Linked DNA regions of Xenopus tropicalis. The protein of the gene in region 1 purifies or fractionates together with the protein of each later gene. This does not show direct contact. Links are inferred from orthologs where the notes say so. Each region holds a gene or a part of one and is shown on either strand. Other genes may lie near its edges.

Region 1 (10,781 bases):
ACCTTTGCAAAAAGCAACCACCTGCCTATTTAAATTAAATCATTTCAGAGACTTGGTGTAGTAACACATGACTTGAAAGACAAATGCAAGTAGTTTGCCTACAATAAAAAAAAAAGCCTAAATGCTTTGGCACACAAATGTATTTGGACAAAACAAGCTACAGCTATACACCTTCCCTTACTTATAAGAAAAACATTTTTTGTAGCTGTAAATATTGTAAAATGCTAATAGCTTAATATATGACCCAAAAGCAAGACAAGAGCAACACCAGAGCAATCTAGCTACCCACAGGTTACACAGGAGAGAACTGTAACCCACCCCTTAAATTGCCAAACACATGTGTCCTCAATACAGAAACAGTTTTGCAAGCAGAATGGGTATACAATCTGGTTTTCACAGTAACACTTTAGACAGACAGACAGACAGACCTCAAAGGAGAAGAAAAGGCTAATAAAGAGTCTCAAGCTACAGGCATACCTTCAGTTGTCTCAATAGTGCCCTTAAGTCTCCCCATATTTTTCCCGTTCAGATGATCAGAAGCCAAACAGGAAGAAAAAACGCTGAGCTGCGTAAAGAAAGTTCCCATAATGCCTCACTCCTGCACCGAGACAGAGACCGAGACCAAGTGTACATGCTCTGTTTGTAAGACTATGAATCAGCTTCCGGCTGATTGGCTCAGATCCACATTCCTAAGGGGGGCGGAGTGAGTTCTTAGCATTCTTGAGGGAGGGGGGAGCAGGAGAGGGGAGAGAGCAGAGAGCTGCGTGTCTCTGGCACATGAATTACAGACACAAGAAATCTTTTGACAGAGAAGTCAGTGCAGAGTTTCTGTGAGTGCTTATGGCTGTATTTACATTGACCTTTCTGATACAGCTTACTTAGTTTTTACCTTTCTTTCTCCTACAATGCTGACAAAGCTAATGCGCCTAAAGATTATAGACTAGTAAACCTTGTACCTTTAGCAGAGATATTTTAATGGGATATTAAAATACGTAGTTCATTGTTAAAGAGCTAATGCTTTTCTATATATAGCATAGAAGTACAATTAGGACATAAACAGTAACACCATTAAGTGGAAATATTTTGTATCTCTTCAACCCTAATTTCAAGCAACAACTGATACATTCAGTGTTAAAAATGTGTTATACACCAAGGCTACAGTAAGAAGCAGCCTGCATACCATATCTAAATCCATTTTTGGGTAACTAAAGACAGCAAAAATGGTAAATGTACTCGCTGACATACAGCAGCAGTAAAGACTGGGAAAATCACTTCACGTTTAAAAAAATGCGAAACAAGATATATTCTATTTATAAATTATTTGTTAAGTTACATTTGTAATATAGATTCCATGTTTACAATGATGACAGTATCATAGCAGGTAGCATATTACATCTACACAAGCCCAGTAGCACAGTAAAATGCCGGTGTACCCAGTTAGACCTGTGAATGTCTCGGCCTCATCAATGCTAGCCATTATTTTAAAATTATTTACTATCTTACATTCAGTGACTCAACAATAGATTATTCTGTCTAAGAATCAGGCAGGAGTAACAATAATGAAATTAATGTTAAATGCAAGTCAGGCTGCCACCATTAGTCACTTTCACAGAATGCTATAAAACAGGCCAAGCTTGTTTTAATATCCTTTTATCTGAATTACTCTCCTCTTTATTGATTAATTTTTACATTTAATCTGCAGACTACAAATTTAAGGCTTGGGTCAGATCAGGGTGGAATTTTATATACTCGATAAGACAGAGTTGTTTTGTTTTTTTTTGTTTTTTTTTAAGAAGACCTATACCTACAAAATGAATACTTAACTAACAGATAATATAAATATCAAACAATCTTTTTATACATAAACATATTCGTAAATGTTACCCTTTTGCAGACCTTGGACCAACTTTTTTGATACTCTGATTTCTCCCTCAGATTACCTGACAGGAAATAATGCAGGTTGTAACCGTAACAGAAAGAAGTGTGGGAGTCAAAAGCAAAGCTCTGTCCATTCATTGGCTGATGTAACCTAGCATGTATGTGTGAGCACAGTGAACTGTATGAGGCAGAGGGCAGCCCATGAATTGGCAATATTCTGTTTAGGGTTTTCCAATGGCATATACTACTAGCAAAGTCTACAACAGTTTATTTAAATTAAGCGGGATTTTACATATAGGCGATTTTATTCAATGTATTTTTATAGAGACCTGACATTTTCAGTGGTATAGTTCCCCTTTATTGAAAGGCTGGTTAAATAAACATGGAGGCAGTGGATATCAGAGATCAAATATTTCCAGGGCTCATTCCGATTGCGTAAACATGGGCATTTAAACCGACATCAACTATTTAATATTATCAATCTATTTTGGTTACAGTGTGGCACTATCCTCTCTCTTTGCCCAAAATATCCATACACATATTTACACAATATCAATTAGAGCACTGGCTATATATCCACGTCCAGCAAAATAAAACTAAATCAGAGTGAATCTGATAAGTCTGCTTGAATTATCTAGTACAGAATCACATACACTTATACAATCTGTATGAGACTGTCGCACCAAAGGAGCAACAAACCGCAGCTCTGATGTATATGAAAGAGAAATCCAATTTCAACTGCCAGTCGATTTCATTCTGTACCAGAAATGTTTTTAGTTTAGTCAGCCCACAGAGTTGGCCCAACTACAATCACTCTGTATAGAAAATGTGATGCAAATTAGTCAGATAAGGCTAATCCATTTCAAACTCCTAAATTGTCTGATCAAATGGATTGTATTTTGACAGGAATGACTATCAGCTGATTAAAGCATTTACCCATATATGACTGTACAATAACTTGGGGCAGAATTGCATGGTAAGCACTTCATATTATATATACATACACCTGTATAGAAGATCTAGACCAGTGCTGTCCAACTTCTGTGGTACCGAGGGCCGGAATTTTTCCGACCTACGTGGTGGAGGGCCGATAATGGAAGCCATTTTGACCACTCCCCTTTTTGAAACTGCACCCACTTGAAACCACACCCGTGTTATCACATGACCATACCCCATGTTTTAGTACAGCAAAAACCTGCCATACTCTGCCTTCCCTACCCGGCCTGCCTGTGCCATACTTGGCCTGCCTGTGCCATACCCTGCCTGCCTGTGCCATACCCTGCCTGCCTGTGCCATACCCTGCCTGCCCTACCCTGCCTGTGTGTACCATACTCTGCCTGCCCTACCATACTCTGCCTGCCCTACCCTGCCTGTGTGTGCCATACTCTGCTTGCCCTATGCTGTATGGCACACACAGGCAGCATACAGTGACACAGTGCTGGCACTGCTCCTACAGTCTGCACAATAACTATATATTAACAAACTTTTTAATTACAGTACTACCTCAGTATATGTTCTTTTTGTAGTGTGCAGGGATTATTTATGGGTTTCTACTGCTCCTACAGTCTGTCTGAGGTGTGAACAGGGGAACAAATTGGGTGATTACAGTCTGAACCTGAGGTGTGAACACTGCAGGGGGTGAACAATGCAGAGATTAAAAGGTGTGAACAGTACAGGGGATTACATTTTTAAACAATACAGAGGGTTTACAGCCTAAATCTGAGGTGTGAACCATGCAGGGGGCCAGTTAATCACAGTACTGATACAATTTAAAGCTTCCATAAGAGTAAAGATGGCCATACACCAGCAGATCCGCTCGCTTGGCGATGTCGCCAAGCGAGCGGATCTTCCCCCGATATCCCCACCTACGGGTGGGCGATATCGGGGACCATTTAGGTAAAAAAAATAATAATCCGATCGTTTGGCCCTGGGGCCAGACGATCGGATTATGTGGGCGGCAATGGGGCAGTCGGATCGGGGACCGCATCAACGAGCCGATGCGGTCCCCGATCCGACCAGATTTTCTAACCTGGCCGATCGAGATCTGGCCAATTTCAGGCCAGATATCGGTCGGCCAGGCCGATCTGCTCTCCCCATACACGGGCCGATTAGCTGCCGAATCGGTCCAAGGGACCGATATCGGCAGCTATAGTCGGCCCGTGTATGGCCACCTTAAGCCATCAAAGCAGCCAGACAGGTGGGGGGGCCACACGGGGGGGGGGGGGGGGGGGTCGCGGGCCGCATGCCAGTTGGACAGCACTGATCTAGACCATGTAATTCTACCAGAAGATGAGGGGGGATGTATACAGAATAACCTATCCCCTATTATAAAATATATGAATATCAGAAGTCATAGAGGAGATCCATGACTATAAAAAAGGACAAGGCTAATGGCCAAGTGCTTTTATACAAGGCAAATTCTAATAGCCTCATATTTTACAACTGGAGATGTACATTTATTTATAATACACGTTTCAGAGAGTAATGTGACTCAAATGACACTAACGCCTATTATAACTAATGGCTAACTTATTGCTAATGGAACTCCTTTGTGACTGGTAATTAGAGATGTAGCGAACTGTTTGCCGGCGAACTAATTTGCGCGAACATCGGGTGTTCGCAGGTTCGCGAACTTTTCGCGCATGTTCGCAATTTGGGTTCGCGTGGCGTTTTTCCGCTGCATTTTTTCTCGCCCTAAAAACGCCGCACAAGCCACACATGGCATTTTTCAGCAAATCCAGTTTCCATGGTGCTAATAGTGCGAAATAGCAAAAAACGCTGCGTATTTCCGCTAGGTCTGCCAGCTGCCTTTGCGTATACATAGGAATAGCTTGCATTTTTACGCAACGCTGTGTCAACAAAGTATTTTTCAGAGAAATTTTTGCCCTTGATCCCCCTCCTGCATGTCACTGTCCAGGTCGTGGCACCCTTTAAACAACTTTAAAATCAGTTTTCTGGCCAGAAATGGCTTTTCTAGGTTTTAAAGTTCGTCTTCCCATTGAAGTCTATGGGGTTTGCGAACTTTCGCACTTTTTGGCGTAGGTTCGTGAACTTTTTTTTTGAGGTTCGCTACATCCCTACTGGTAATATCTTTATATGTTACAAAATGGGGTACATTATTATATAATTCCAGTATTATATATTTTTCTTTTTGTAATGTGAAAGCAATATGCATATTGCATATGTAAATATATTTAGTTAATCTGCACAGCAACTGCAACCAGAAAAAGAACAATATTATGAATGTATAACCCCTCTGGGTCCTGTAATGCTTTGTAGCTCCCAATGCTTTAATAAAGATTTTTGATATTTAACATGGAGTGTGCATGTTACTGGATCTTTTGTGAATGCTACTTTCCTAATATAGCAAAAGCAATATGCTTAATGCTAAATCAGGAAGTGGAATGTGTAGAGCAATTTGCTTCCCAACAATTCCAAATAACGTTATGGTAGTTTATAAAATAAACCATGGAAATGGACCGTCTAGCAAGCAGGGGCGTCCAAAGCATCTACGTATTATGACGGGTTTCTTAAAGTTTACAAGGGGGCGAAAAACGAAGCTATTACGCAGGATGCCAGCACTAGCCATCTCCATCCTCTTGTGAGTGCTTTCCCAGAATGCCTGGCAGTGAGAGAACGAATGGGAGAGCCCATTACTTGGCACCCCTACACTATCCCCGCGGTTCCAATGGGCACTGGATGTGGGGAAGGCAGGCGGGAAATTCTAACGAAGAGAAACGCTAGACGTACCAACACATAACCATGTGTTCATTGCTTTACAATAAAAAAGACATAACAAATGCAGCGATATGTTTTTTCAAACGATAATATTAGCGCCCACGTTAAACAAAGATCTCATTATAAAGGTGCCGGGACTTCCGTGGCGCTAATTGGTACATCACATAATGCGTCTGTTACATTACCGGAGCCCCCAGGAAGCCTATACCAACACCCGCAAAGTAATCAGCCCCTACAGCCAACTTTAAACTTACCACATAAAACTGACGCTCGCATGGAAAACCTTCCAGGAAGTCGTGATGTCATAGCCACGTGACCAAGATGTGCGAGTGGGTGTGACGTCACGTAGAGGGCGTGCCTAGCGCCTGTCCCAGTTCAAAACCTGCGGTACGTCACACTTGAGGGAAGGGATGTCTTGCTAAGCGGCTATGGAAGAGAGCAGAAAATTCAAATATGGCAATGTGGCGATGCGCTGCGCTAGAATGGGTTTGCAAGTGGCAAATAAAAAGAGCAGCGGCTGGCGAGGAGGAACTGTTATCTGTTCCCAGATTTGCTGAGTGAAATCAGACTACACAAATCGGATAAATAAATAGATCACACCCACTTTTTGGCCACACCCCTGTAAAACGCTTCTGAAAGACAATCCAAACACTGAGTCAGGCAAACAGCTGAGAAGAGCAAGGCTTGTTTCACAACACGTATGGGAATAAAATAACTTGTGGGTCCTGACTGCCTGGCATTTTTAATGTTAACTATATTTTCCAATCAAGCACTGCATACCTTCTTCTTACAAAATGAACACAGCTCTACATATACCACTGTGTAATGGAAAGAGCTTTGTATTTTGTACTTTATTGTGCACATATCTTTGTATACTAAGGGACTGATTCATCAAAGTAAGCAAATGTCACGAAAATGCTTACGAAAAATCGTGTTAGTCACTATAATATTGCATTGGTGATCCAAAAGTCACAAAATTTTTGTATCTGAACGATCGTAAACGGCGGGAAAACCTTTCTGAATTTGATCCTTGTGTGCATGATTTTGGAAGCCTCCCATAGGACTCAATGGCACTCTGCAGCTCCAACCTGCCCCAAGGAAAGTCATGATACCGAAGCTTGAATTAATCCAAAATTTTGTTGCTTAATTTAAGTTTGCTTAAAATATGAAAAATTGCGCAAATTAGCAAAAAAAACTGCGAAAATACGCAAGGTACCAAACTATGTTTTTTTGGTATTTGGAGGCAATCATACTTTGATAAATGGGCCCCTTAGATTCCCCCCTCTCAGGGCCTCCTATCAGTCTTCCAAAGAACACTTTACGGGTTGAGGGGAATCCTGGGAGTTTTAGTTATGTAGTAGGTTATGCAGCCTGTGTATTCTTTTACTTGACATAAGTAATTTAAAATCAAGAGGGCTAATCAGAGCAGGGGAACATTCTGTTAAATGACCAAAGTTTTTTTTTTTTACCTCATAGCTACTGAATGGGCCGTAAATATTTAATAAGGTTTGTGACAAATGTGGAATGTGGACTGGAAGTAAAAAGCAGCCAAAGGCAAAAACAAAATCAAAACAACCCACATATAAACACACAACAGTCTTCTACTTTTAAATATATCAGCAAACATATTATCAGCTAACAAATATGTCCAAACTTTGTGTCCTACAGAGGCACATAAATGAAAATAGTGCATATGAATTTAAAGTCTGACACTCTGGCTGCGGCAGTATAAGAACCAGTTGTGTGTATTATGTGCCATAAGACCCCCTAACAGCAAGCAGACCCTAGGAAGTACACATTCTGACAAATCCAAAATGGGTAAATGCATTTTATTACCGCAATCTACCAAACTGCATAGATATGCTAAACAGTGTTTTTTAGGAAATATATCGTCACAAACCTTACATTTTACCCAATTATATACCTCACTTTTTTGTAACATACCAGCATAAAACTTGCTGAATATGAATGCCAGGGGACTACTGAACAGTTTGATGCCCAATATGCATAGATTTACCAAACTTATACTGTATGGCCTACATGTATGTGTATTATGTGCCATAAGACCACGTAACAGTATGGAGACCTTAGAAAACCATTTATTTTCTGAAGATACTAAGAACTTAAATGGGTAAATATGTCTCTTCTGCAAACTAGAAAGCTATGCCAAATGTTTTTTACCCCATCATATGCCAAACATTTTGTAATGCACCAACATAAAACATCCTAAATATGAATACTAGGGGTCTACTAAACAGTTGGATGTCCAATATGCATAGATTCACCAAACTATGTGGCATACAGAGGCACTCAAATGGATATACAGCAGGCAAATTTTCCAGGGGCTCCCCTATTACAAACAGCACAGCAATATTCATACAAGTTCCTTTTGGATTGTTTGGCGGTCTGGGTGCAGCGCCACAGAACCGTAGCTATGGGGAGAATACAATCAATCCAAACCATAATGGTGTGCACACCTGGTTCTGGAGCTTTTTGGTGACCTCTTTTGTTATAATTTACAAAAAGGAAAGGGGGTCTTTTTCAAGTTTTCATAGGGGGGTATTTTAGAATCTGTGGGTCAGGCAAAAGGAATTGCATTGTATACTATTTATATCAGTAATGTTAAATCAGTGAAAAAAGGTAGAAATATGGAGTTTACCTAATATAAGTACTATACATTTCAACATACCCTTGCAAAGTGCAGGGGTATATGAAGGTGAATGCTACATGTATGTAAGGAAGTCAGACAATCCTTTTAAAACCAAAAATGCCAATTGTGTTCCTCCCCTGACACGTTATATTTACGCGCGCTCAGGGGAGGACATCAGGCGGGGGGCCCTGCAGAGGGTAAGGGCCCCTGGGGCGGCTGGATAGGGATTGGCGGATACTCAGGATTGGTAATGTGAATATGCATCAACAAGGAGAGCCTGGGAAGCAGTACATATATTCTGATTATCAGAAATCACAGGGCCTATACAACAAAATTATTTGCCCCCCCCAGACCTGTTTCTAATATACATTTATTAAAACATCTGTACCATTTTTATAAATGAATAAATAAATATCTTGCCTGTGATTCTGGTACAGACAGGATATAGAATAAAGCCTGAGAAAAAAGCCTAATTTGTGCTTTTTAAGATTTGAGAAAGGAATCTCATTCAGTAATAATTTAAATTTTACCAGTGGGGAACTACACCATGAGACAAAGTTTGTACAGCTGCACAGGGCTTAGATGGGTGAAGTTTAAACTTGCCCCCCAGTCCACCCAACAAGGCCTGGATTTGTGGAGAAGACACAAAGGCCCGGGCCAAGGGCGGCACAAATTTTGGGGCGCTGCAGCACCAAAATGTTAAAATTATTGGAGCAATGGGGACCTCTCCCATTTAAACTTCTGCGCATGTGCTCTCACGGGGGGGGGGGGTGTTGCTGTTTGCGTATACATGAATAGGGACAGCCTAGGGGCGCCCGGATAAGAAATCCAGCGCTGCATCCAATCCCTATGTGACTTTACTGGGACTTACACTTCATTGACAAATAAGCAGTATACAAAGCTGTTAGAGAAAAGACCCTTCCTTCCAAAGTGCAGCTCACAGCGGGGGGGGGTCCAGTTAATCAAGTAAATGTAGCACTGCTGGGCCTTCTAAGACCCCAAAATCCACCAGGCCTGGGTCAACTGTCGCCCACCGATGCACAGAGACCACCCCCATTCCCCACCTCCTCTACCCCCTGACCAGGATCATATGCATGCGCCTCCATTTAGCTCACTTACGGAGCACTGGGGACACGAAGCGCTGAATTTTTCTGCACATCCTCTCCCCAGTTCTCTGCATGTGAGCAAAATTTAGGAATGGCAGGGTGACATGCTGCCCCTAAAATTGTGCCGCCCTAGGCCCGGGTCTTTGTGGCCTTGCCACAAATCCGGGACTGCCCCCACCCCGATGGTTGCCCTGCTTATATCTGTCACAAGACTTACCCAGTTATATGGAGATGTTATCAGTCTTCATTTTCTCTTTTTGGTGTCAGTGCTTTTTTGTAACCAGTAGAGGGAGCGCCTTTTCAATCACAATGCTCTCGATCTAGTGCAAATATTTTCCTTTTAAATGTATTTATACAGTTTAAAAAGCAAAGTATATTTATGGACAAGGCCCACCAAACTAGAAAATGGATCAGAGTGAAGCTCTGGCTAACAGTAATGACTTCATATATATCATAGTGCTGCTATTTTACTTACCTTTTCCAGGGGTCCCTATGAAGAGGGATCCTGGTAAAGGTAAGTAAAATGGCAATTCAGCGCTACTTTTTGTCCTGATACTGATGTATTTTTTTCCTAAAAGTAGAATGCCTTAGGGAAAAAATAGAGATATGTTTACTTGTCCTTTAATGTGACTGCATATAGCTAAATCTTGTGCAAAAAATGTAATTATATTTTTGCTTGCAGTATCCCTTTAACTAAGTCTAAAGCCTATAAAACATATAATACTGTTGTTTAATTTTAAAGAAATAATTAATTTAAAAGAAATAAATAAGTCACACAGTTGCCTGACACATGCTTGTCCAAGCAAGTAAATTTAACACTGCAGTCAAAACTGCACTTCTTTTATCATTACTTCTGTGCTTATGTAGCAAAGCACAGAGAATTGTTCAGGGTGAATGTTGGGAAGCAGTAACTTATAATTTCAGGATCCTCTGTCCCAATGATAAATGCCACATGCCCCCACCTGGAGCACAATGGGTTAATCTCACGATTGCAAGAAGGGGTAGAAGCATTGGCGTGGGTCCTGTGCCTCCAGGTAGTGACAGTTGCCTGGTTGCACAATCGCTGCTAGTTAATCATAAAAAGGAGCAGCTCACGCCTTGTTGCTTGCAGTAACCATAGCAGCAGTCACAAGCTTTCTTTTCCTCTGAAACTTAACTGAAGTCAAGGGGGAAACAAATAATCCCTAAAACTAGGTAAGTCATTTTTTTACATTATACTTGATTGTACTAGTAAATTAAACAAAATTGTCCATTAATTTGTATATTAGCCCAAGCTTAGACTTTGGCTCTTTTGCCAGGTGTATGTGCTGTGGGTACAGAATAAGTATATCAGCAAATTACTGAAATATTTGTGTTAAAATAATAAAAAATGGGGTGTACAGCTAGTTTTAGGCATTCCCATGGGCATT
Region 2 (10,262 bases), about 6.5 Mb from region 1:
ACCCCACACTGCTTTGAGAACCCCTTCATCCCCGAGGTCTAGGAATACCCGGCTCTACTGGGGGAATCCCTTGCCAGTGTACAGCTGGCTGGCTGGCTGCTCACAGATTGCCTTATTGCTGTGGAAGAGGACAGAGTGGCTTCGTCTTATGGCCATTGCAATTCACCACAGCTCTGTACGGAACATTGACCCTGTTCAGAAGTGAAGGGTTTAAACTTTAAAGCTCTTTTTTTCCCAGTTTTCATTTTAGATTCTTCAGCACACGTAACACAGGGACGCTTTCCTCAAAGCTCGCCTGATATTCATTTCGCTGACTATTGCTCTGCGTCCCCCTTTTGGCATGACACACACTAGGGGGTTATAGAAGCCGTTCCACAATGGTTCTCTGAAGGTGCCATCTGAGTAGACTGGGTAACCTGCCATCGCTGAGGGTAAAGAAGAGCACAACTGTAAGCAAAGTGAACCCCAGCAGGAAAAATTTACAGTTTCTCTCATATGCAGTCCAGTAACTACCCAATAAACTAATGCAAACACCAAACTCAAATCGACATTTCTTTGAACTACTGATCTTCTGTTACTTTTACTAGGAAATTACCTGGTAATGTTGTTTTTCTTTTAAAAAGTATTAGACACAATTCCCTGCAAACTATAACAGATTGATCCCCGCTGTAAAAACTGATGAAAGACACATTTGTGTGACTATCACTAGAGTATGAAGAAAAGCCCTGGCAACAAAATGCCAGGCAATAACCTGCCATGATAGCACCCTTCTGCATGTCACACTATGCATATTGTTGTATTTTAGGCCTAGTCTGCATTTCCATGCACCAGATTAATCAGCCACAAGTGCCTTTAGCTTTCCTTTCCTAACCTGGATATAAAATTGCAAGTGGTATTGTGGCCAGCAGGGATTTGACCGATGTCATTTAGCTAAAGAGAGACTAATATATGGACAGCGGTATTTTTAAGGAACTAGTTCTATACGTACCTATGAAGGCAGGCCTTACGAGGGAGCACAGCTATCGGAATAACCTGGTGAAATCTCTCAGAGCCCAACATACCTGTTTACATTCCTCAGCACTGAAAAAAACAAATACAACAATCCCAACCATAAAGAATTATGATGAAATAAACAAGTAGTATCAAGCCCTGTTCGGTTTGCAACTGGATGCATATATACCAGATCTTTAGTAAAATACATATTCTTTGAAAAGCCTAATAACTATGAATACCAGTATGATATTGTGTAACATATTTAAAACAATGAAAAAAATACAAAAAGGTTAAATTTTATGTTGTGAGGCAAAAAGCAAAAAGTTGAAATAAAACTGGTTAACACATCACACATATTAAGGCATTTCTGTATTTAAAGTTGCCTAACATGCCTAGATATGATTGGGCAGTTTGCCCAATTTTGACCATATGTCAGCGTGGGGTTTGGTTTTGAGAGATGATCTATTACTGGATATGTAATCTTCCAAGTACCGTGGCAACAGGATCACAGTACATCAGCAGATGAGAAAGTGAAGGAAAGGCAGAGATCCCCTTTACACCCAGCATCCAGTTCATTTTTTTAAAAAAACAAAAAAAAAACATCCTAGAGGAAAAGTGATCTTATTCATTAGGGGTACAAATAGTCACACCCCTCCCCAGTGATTTTAATGTTTGTTCACTCTTCCTCTGCCAACCAAAATTAGAAAAGTGAATATCCTTCTGGTATGCTGCCATCAGTAGGTTCATTTTGGGTCAGAAATGTGCTTTTACTTCTGATGGCTTATAAAACATCTTCTCAAACTTTAGCCAGAATAAACATACACTTTTCAGAAAAGAGGGAAGTTTAGAGACATCACAGAGTATATGAAGCCTCTAAAAACCACTAAAGCCCACCTCCAAACCACTCCGCGTGCCCGCACCCAGGTGGTTACTTTCGTTTTTTAGTGCAGGCACATGGCGCAGCAGAGGCAAGCAGATTCGCTGCTCCCAGCCTGACTAAAAAACACAAGGGTTGAGAGCAGCAGATATATGCACCGTGTACCCATGCCCTAATGGTGAAGGCAGACAGAGCTGTTATCTGTTATGCAACATGTGTGCCATCCCACTGGCGATTTACATTCTTGCTGGTGGGATGGCATTGCAGGGAGATAAGTTACTTGCGGCAACGAAGATTTGTTGCGGGGCGACTAATCTCCCCGTCTGTCACTGCGCTAAACACTTACAGAAGCAATATTAGCATATTAGCAACTAATTCTGATGTCAAAATATATTTTAAAAAATTCTCTGTTATGACTCTGTTATTTACAGTTTGGTCCAGGCAAAGAGGATACTACAAAAAACGGGGAGGAGTAAAATTATGATGGGTAAAGGCATAAGTGATGTAATTTTTGTGCTTTCTTAATGGAGCTATAACCCTTAGATCAACAAAAAGTAGTGAAAACATTCCATGTAAGTGCAGTCCTGTTTGCATTGATGCCATTCAGTTAATTCAACAAATCACATGAACGTCTCCCCATCACATCTATCAGGGGTAATGACATGGCTCTATATTCCTGACTGAATTGCTGGACCAAAGAGAAATAACTGACACCGATTCACATCAAATGGAGCTGAAAATGAATCATATATACATTGTATTTTAGCAAAACTACTATTTCAGTGAAGACTGACTTGACTAAACTGTGTCTAATATGAATATTTCCTAGTAGCCATATTCTTTTCTGTTTAAGAAATTATGCTCGTACCTTGTGACTTGTTTGTGGAAATCTGTTAATTGTTTGTGTGTGACTGTTGCTGCTCCCACTGCCATGTCCTTTGGTAAGTTCTTCAGAGAAGCTTCCAACCAACGACAAAATGTCTGTAAACACAAATTGTTTCTCAAATTCTGTACTTCCCCAGCAAAAAAATGATACATTCCCATGCTATAGTAAAATACATATATATCTTTATATAAGGCAGGGATCCCCAACCTTTCTTACTTGTGAGCCACAGTCAAATGTAAAATGACTTGGAGAGCAACACAAGCACCATAAAGGTTCAAGGAGGTGCCAAATAAGGGTTACGATTGGCTATTAGGGGCCTCTATGCACACTATCAGCTTACAGGAGGCTTTATTTGGCAGTAAATCTTGTTTTTATTCAGCCAAAACTTGCCACCAAGTCAGGAATTGAAAAATAACTACCGGTACTTGGTTTTGAGGCACTGAGAGTAACATCCAAGGGGTTGGGGAGCAACATGTTGCTCACGAGCCACTGGTTGGGGATCACTGATATAAGGGAATGGGTGGTAATAGAAAAGGGCTTTAAAGGACATCAACCCAAAAAATAAGGATGTAGGCTGAAGGCATGCTAAGGACAGCTGACTACTGCTATGTTTTATTTGAAATAACTTTTAAAGCACTAAATCCATATTGGAAAGTTGCTTAGAATTATATTTTCTTTTATTAGATTCACTTAGATTCCAAGCTCTACAGGGCAGGGACCTCCTTCCTACTTTGTTTAACACCACATGGCACTTAATCTCTGTATATTTATACTTAATTATTGTATTTATTATAACACTTGTCCTCCCAGTGTGTAATTGTGTATATTGTAAGATTGTACAGCACTGCCTATCCTTATTTAAACATACATATTACGTATGTAATAAAACCTTATTTTTTGGGTTGATGTCCTTAAAAAGATTGTTTCTTTGGAATGCATTATTCTAAATGCCTACACAAGTGATGCCTACCTTGCCCCTGGAATCTCTTACAATTAGAACTAGTGCAAATGAAGGCCTCCAATACTTGCCATAAAATGGATGTATTTTCTGTGTGCTAAAATTATCTGTGTTTATACTTACCGGCCTATTAAAGACCATAGCTTCCCAGAGAACCTCTGCCACATCAGGGAGCGTGTAGGGTGGAAGGCAGAAGCAGCAAGCATGGATAAGCTGGCTTACCAACTGCTGCCCTACTTGAGTCAGAACTTGTTGGATTAAGTCCTTACGAATCTCAAAGTTTTCTTCATGCTGTATAGAAACATTGAAGGCTTATTGTAAAAGTGGAGTTGTTACGGTGACACAGCAATCTTGGTACCATGTACTGGGGTCCCTATCCAGTTTTGTATTAAAGTCTGTTGCATGCAACCGAGTAATGAAGTTTGCATTCCCTAGTAAACCCATAGTAAGCAGTTAAGTGGGTGCTGCTAAAACACTTTGAGCCCACAGAGCAAAACAGACTGGCTCCCCATCCCCCTACAATTACAGTGTGCATCTGTTGAACAGAATTCTAAGACTTTATGTTAAATTAATGAGATAAGAGAATTTACTGCATTTCCTTTTAAGAGATTATCAAGAAAAAAATTAGTTTTGACAGATTTTAGCCGTAACTTTCTGCAGACACTCCTTGGTGGCCAGAACATTACATCTGTCTCCTCTAGCTTACATTCCTCTCTGCATGGTGGCCATATTATAACAGAAGGTATAGAAAAGGATACTTATCTGCAGCACATAAAAATTATGAACAATGTTACATAGTTACATAGGGTTGAAAAAAGACCCCAAAAAAAGCACACACAACCTATACTTACTAATCTATACTATCATATACATAAAATAAATAAATAAATATAAATAAATCACAATAGCCTTTGGATACTATGCTTGTTCAAGAACTCATCCAGGCCCCTCTTAAAGGCACGTTGAACCAAGTTTTCCTCTGAATTAAGTCAAATAACTTATTTCTGCCAGCAAAGCAATTACAGTGTGGAAAAGAAATGAACATAAATAGGGAGGGAAAAGATAAAAATGTATTATGTGCTAAAGCACTTACATCATTGGACACCCCGGTGTGTATTAGATCACGCAGGAACTTCATGACGCTACAGTTGGCATCCCGGTGGTCTAGTGTAGAGGCAGCTATAGCCCACCGCAACACATGGATCACAACCTGACTGCGCAGCAGGACGATGGGACAGCGCTGTACGAACCTGGAAGGGAGTGATATGGGAAAATATGGAAAGAGATATGGAATAGAGTCAAAACACCCCTGTCAACTTGTCACTAATCTTTAAAGGAGAAAGAAAGGTAAAAACTAAGAAAGCTTTATCAGAAAGGTCTATGTAAATACAGCCATAAGCACTCACAGAAACGCTGCACTGACTTCTCTGTCAAAAGATTTGTTGCGTCTGTTTTCCTCTGCCAGAGACATGCAGCTCTCTCCTGCTCCCCCCTCCCTCAAGAATGCTAAGAACTCACTCCCCCCCCTTAGGAATGTGGATCTGAGCCAATCAGCAGGAAGCTGACTCAGTCTTACTAACTGAGCATGTTCACTTGGTCTGGGTGTCTGTGCAGGATTGAGGCATTATGGGAACTTTCTTTACACAGCTCAGCGTTTTTTCTTCCTGTTTGGCTTCTGATTATCTGAACAGGCGAAATATGGGGAGACTTAAGGGCACTATTGAGACAACTAAAGGTATGCCTGCAGCTTGAGATCTTTATTAGCCTTTCCTTCTCCTTTAAAGCAGCAAATGGAAAGAATGTTGCACTCACACAAGTGAACCTTAGAGCTAAAATGCTTGCTTGAGAATTGAGTAGTGGGGGCAGGTGGGACAGAGGGGTTCATATGCTGCTGTATTACACCCTAGGGCAGTGGCAGACAAAATGCCCATTGAACAAAATAAGAACCCTGCCCAATATTAGGTTCTACTTGCATAATTAATAACAGATGTCATAAATCACAATAATGTAAGCTTCTGAAGAACAGTTACTAGGACAGGACTGAATTAACAATAGCTTGAGGAAACATTATTATGTTACCGTAAGCTGTTTTACCCATTGAGTGACACCTACATATAGGACCATGAATTTCTAGCTCTGTAGATAGTAGGATTCTCTATGGAATTTGTTTGCTATAACAACTTGTTTGCAGACAGATGCATCCTTTGTATTCAGCCTGGATAAAATATGCTTTTTATCATGTAATTCCATATACTGGTGGTTTTACAATTCCTGTAAGCATTCCTATTCTTCCCTCTTCTTGTTTGCAAGCCAAAAATGTTATCTGGTTGTCAGGGTCACCTATAGTGAGGCTTCAATTTTATTCTTATCCTTGAGAACAATCCACAGGCATGTCTGCACTGCACTGCCAAGGTTACCTGGTAAACAGTCGGAATAGATCATCTACAGTGTCTGGGTGATTTCGGAGACCATTTTGCTGCTCCAGTAGTTGAAACGTTGGGACACATAAAGCCTAAAATTAGAATAGCATGAGATATATTACTTTGCCAATACAGCAAATGTTAAGGAGATTTGATTATTTAATTTTTGTTACTGATACTAAGTGTACAAAACGGTCACAGGACAGTAAAATGCTAAAAATGATGAGGATGCCAGAGACTGATTCAAACACTGCAGATGACAACATTTAGTTTTTGTTCCTTCTTGGTTAGTACAATGCAGAACAGAAAAAAGCCGACCTGTAACATATCCAACAGTCCCTGCTGACAGCCCTCCTCCATTCCATATTCATCCACTAGGATACTGCCAAGGTACAGGAAGCATGAGTGCTGGTGAATATGGTACACCTCTACCATCTGAAAAAATTAAAATAAAAAAACAAATATAACCAAACACCCGTTCATATATACACAAAAATGCATTTCTTTTTCTTCCAGGCATTTCTTTTTTTTGGGGGGAGACGGCTTAAAACTTAGCTACAATGCAGTCTGTGCTGTAACCCAGGACAAAGCAATTATCAGTATGTATATAGCAGCTCCTGATCCTAACCGATATATATGGTCTCATTTACAAAACAGGCACAATCCCAATTTTTCTTTCCATGTCACACTTTGCCTTGCTGGCTGTACTTCCTATAGAGACAATGCACTGCAAAAAGGAGCTTTGCAAGCACTGCATGCTATGGGGCATTGGATAGGTGTTCCCAAGCAATAAGTGCAGGGCTTTATTTACTCTGAGTGCTGCACTCTGGTTAGTACTATATTTTTACTGCAGTAGCTTAGACTACAGCTTCCACCTGGCACGCATAACAGCACAAATGCTTATGGGTGAAATTTTTGTTTTGTGAATGAGCCCTAATATGTGTTGCATCTAGATAGATACTAAAAGATTTGTATCAGCACCTCTTTTATAAAATATTTAAGTTAACCATTTTTAGGAGACAGTTTATTAATAAGTTCAATTTAATTTTAACATTAATTCAGACCTATTGAAAAAAGTGTTAATGGACGTGATATTCTAGTTAGCATAGCCTGGTAGCACTAAATGTTGGGATGCATCACAGTACCTGTGTTACTAATGGTTGGAGGAGCGCAGCAGATCCTTTCCCTACACAGCGCACAGCAAAACGAAGGCATCGGCAACAGCGCTCAACAATTCGATTGTCAGCGCGGTGCTTGTTCATGGTTTCTGACAACACAGGCCAGATCTTTTAAAAGAAAAAAAAAACAAAACAAAAAACTCATTATCATTATCATCATCATTATTATGTTCAATAACTGGCATACAATTGTTATAGGAAACAAAGCATTGTTTTCATGTGAGTAGGCATAGGGTTATACATCCCACCATATCAAAAGAGAACAAAACCCTTATAGCTTTCCCCTTCCACACTATTGGGTCCCCCTAAAATTCAGCTTTTGCTGTACTTGGTCCTAAAACTAAACAAGAAGACAAGTGAGATTAGCCACCCTCTGAATATGCAACAGGTCCTATTCTCTGAGATCTCTCAAGACAGGACTGAGTGGCCTGGATATTATTGTGGTGTGGTCAGAAAAATGCTGGGCCATTTCCTAATGTTTCTCACAGCCTATAACTATGCCAGTACAAGTAACCCCTATACTAATCACAACTGAGTAAAAAATTACAGGTGCAATGTCCCTTAAAGAGGACCTAAAAAAAAAAAAAAAAAAAAAAAGACATAAAAAGCTGTATAATATAATCCTTTTCAAATGAAACACGAAACCCAAAATCATTTTTATATTAATACATCCAAACCCATTATAAAGGCAATTAAAAATCCCAGCTATCAATCACATATTGCTTGCCCAGCCTGTATGCCTTAGGCATAGAGGCGGGGCAGACAATACCTTTAGCTTTCCGTTCAGCACTACCTATATGTCAGTGCACATCTCACTTTTCCCCTCCCTCTTCCTCATCATTTAATTGTGTAGCCAGTGCATGGGCACGGGCATCTGGTCCCCCATTCTGGCACATAAACTAGATTTTGGCATGATACAAAGCTTGGCTTCATAAGTGTCCACAAAATGGTGCCTGCCTGCTTGCAGTGATTGAGTAATTCCAAGACGGAAGGAAACAAGATATATTATATTATTTATATAGAGTAAGTAAAGTTTATTTTGCTCAACTAACAATATAGAAAATAATTTGGAGTTATTTCTTAGGGTGACAGGTCCCCTTTAAATGCTTTTTTTTTTTTTTTAAATAAACTTCAACTTACCTGCTTCACACCTAAACAGCAAGAAAATCTAGCAATCACTGCACAGAGTAGCCGGCTGCATAACATCTCCTGTGCTACCCTGATCTAAATTAGCAGCGTAACAAAAAGCATACAAAAGAAATTGACATGTGCTTGTGTGGTAGGTAACTCAGGCTGTAAACCTGACTGAGGAATATGAATGATCCTGAGGTTCCTTACTTCCTGGATGACTTTTTGGCACGGGTGGGTCTGTCCATTCTCCACTATAGGGTTGGTATGCCTAAAAATGAGAAAAGATAGTGGTACATAGTGACAGTTAAAAAATATTCTGAGGAGTTTGCCGCATCCTAAGGAGAGTCTTAAAAGCCTACAGTTAGGTATAGAGTTGTGGCCAAACATATTGGCACCTTTGCACTTTTTTCAATAATGCACCAGTTCTGCAATAAAACTGTTGAACATAAGCTATAGTAATTACATATGTAAGTCTTGTGTTTTGCAGTGGAACAGCACAAAAAAAGCTGGAAAAAAATATTAATTTTATCTTTTAGATACAACAAGCATCCTAAAAAGCCCTGTACAAAATTAATGCCAGCTTTCAGAGGTTAAATTAAATATTTTTTCAAGCAGATGACTCTCCTTTAACTAATAAGTAAACACTAGTGAACTGTAATGCAAAATGTCTGCAATAACAGAAGCACAAATTCAAAGTCAGTCTGAATGGAGAAAACTTGTTTCTCATTCTGCTGCATTGTGTCTGTTGTACCATGTTGAACAAAAAGACCCATTTTAATTAATGCAAGTATTGATGTAGGGCTGACTCAGAAGGAAGTTTAAAGTAGACTAAAAATGGGAAAGCAAACAGAAGTCCAGGACCTCTTGGTATTCACCCCCAGCTTCTATAAGAGCTTAGCTCTGAGGATGCCAAATCACTTTATTTAGCAATCCAGAATTTTATGATGTCTGGTATGGTGTTTGGAGAGATTGGCTACATGCTAATAAAAAAAATAAATCTCAAGACTGAAAACTATAGGTCTGTTAGTAAGACATCTGTGGTAGGAAACTTTAGGGTGAAGACACACAGAGCTACTTAGCAGCTACATGTCACCCTGCCATAGACAATACTGAGAATTTCCTCTGCTAAAACACATGTAGAGACAGTTTTCAGTAAAAGGTCAGTATTGTCTATTTTAGTAGCCGCTACTAGTAGCTCTGTGTGTCTTCACCCTTAAGGGTAAGATACAGGAACACATTTCAAATCACAATATTGTGGGTTGAGTGAAATTTGAGCAGAAGGGGAGCAGAAGCCTAGAGACACTGGAGTGGCAGTGAATGCACTCTACAAAATATACAGTACCACTCAGGTTACTGATTAATTTAGGAATATTGGCCTGAAATATATTTGTACTTGAATAGAGAACTTGCTAAAGGATAGATTACAAAGAGGGGTAGTTAATGAAACATTTTTTAATTGGACCGGATCTGTTGTTGGACTACATCAGGGGTATGTTCTTGGTCTTTGCACTTTGTTCATAAATGACCTTGCGGGTGAAACTAAAAACTGCCTCTGTTTTTGCTAATACTAAATTGTGCAAAGTGCCAAGCAGGATCTTGCCATGTTGCAGAGAGATCTGAATAAACCGGAGAACTGGGCAGCAAAGTGGCAACTCTGATAAATGCAGCGTTATGCACTTGGGCAAAAATAACATGAAAGATAGTTATACACTAAATGGAATTATGTAGGAGGCCTCCCTTTAAGGGAGATGGGTTTGGGGAATTTTGACCATAAGGCAGTGTTAATCATTGGCTACTAAAGCAAAAAAAGTATTGCCTT

What was found. The genes of interacting proteins can lie anywhere in the genome.
Region 2: the proteins of clk3 (region 1) and tnpo3 purify together in Homo sapiens (affinity purification with mass spectrometry; 4 studies listed by BioGRID and IntAct, counting the BioPlex papers as one, with this or other methods). This does not show direct contact. The link is inferred for Xenopus tropicalis from reciprocal best matches to the Homo sapiens genes CLK3 and TNPO3.

Annotation. Positions count from the first base shown.
Region 1 is NC_030679.2:94,247,753-94,258,533, forward strand, and holds the start of clk3 (dual specificity protein kinase CLK3), read right to left. Parts: upstream 5,915-10,781; 5' UTR 5,871-5,914; intron 1-5,870. UniProt on the Homo sapiens protein: Dual specificity kinase acting on both serine/threonine and tyrosine-containing substrates. Phosphorylates serine- and arginine-rich (SR) proteins of the spliceosomal complex.
Region 2 is NC_030679.2:87,732,553-87,742,814, forward strand, and holds part of tnpo3 (transportin-3), read right to left. Parts: intron 8,712-10,262; coding exon 8,651-8,711; intron 7,421-8,650; coding exon 7,280-7,420; intron 6,570-7,279; coding exon 6,453-6,569; intron 6,227-6,452; coding exon 6,132-6,226; intron 4,965-6,131; coding exon 4,808-4,964; intron 4,006-4,807; coding exon 3,838-4,005; intron 2,852-3,837; coding exon 2,739-2,851; intron 1,081-2,738; coding exon 1,020-1,080; 3' UTR 989-1,019; intron 426-988; 3' UTR 1-425. UniProt on the Homo sapiens protein: Importin, which transports target proteins into the nucleus. Specifically mediates the nuclear import of splicing factor serine/arginine (SR) proteins, such as RBM4, SFRS1 and SFRS2, by recognizing phosphorylated SR domains.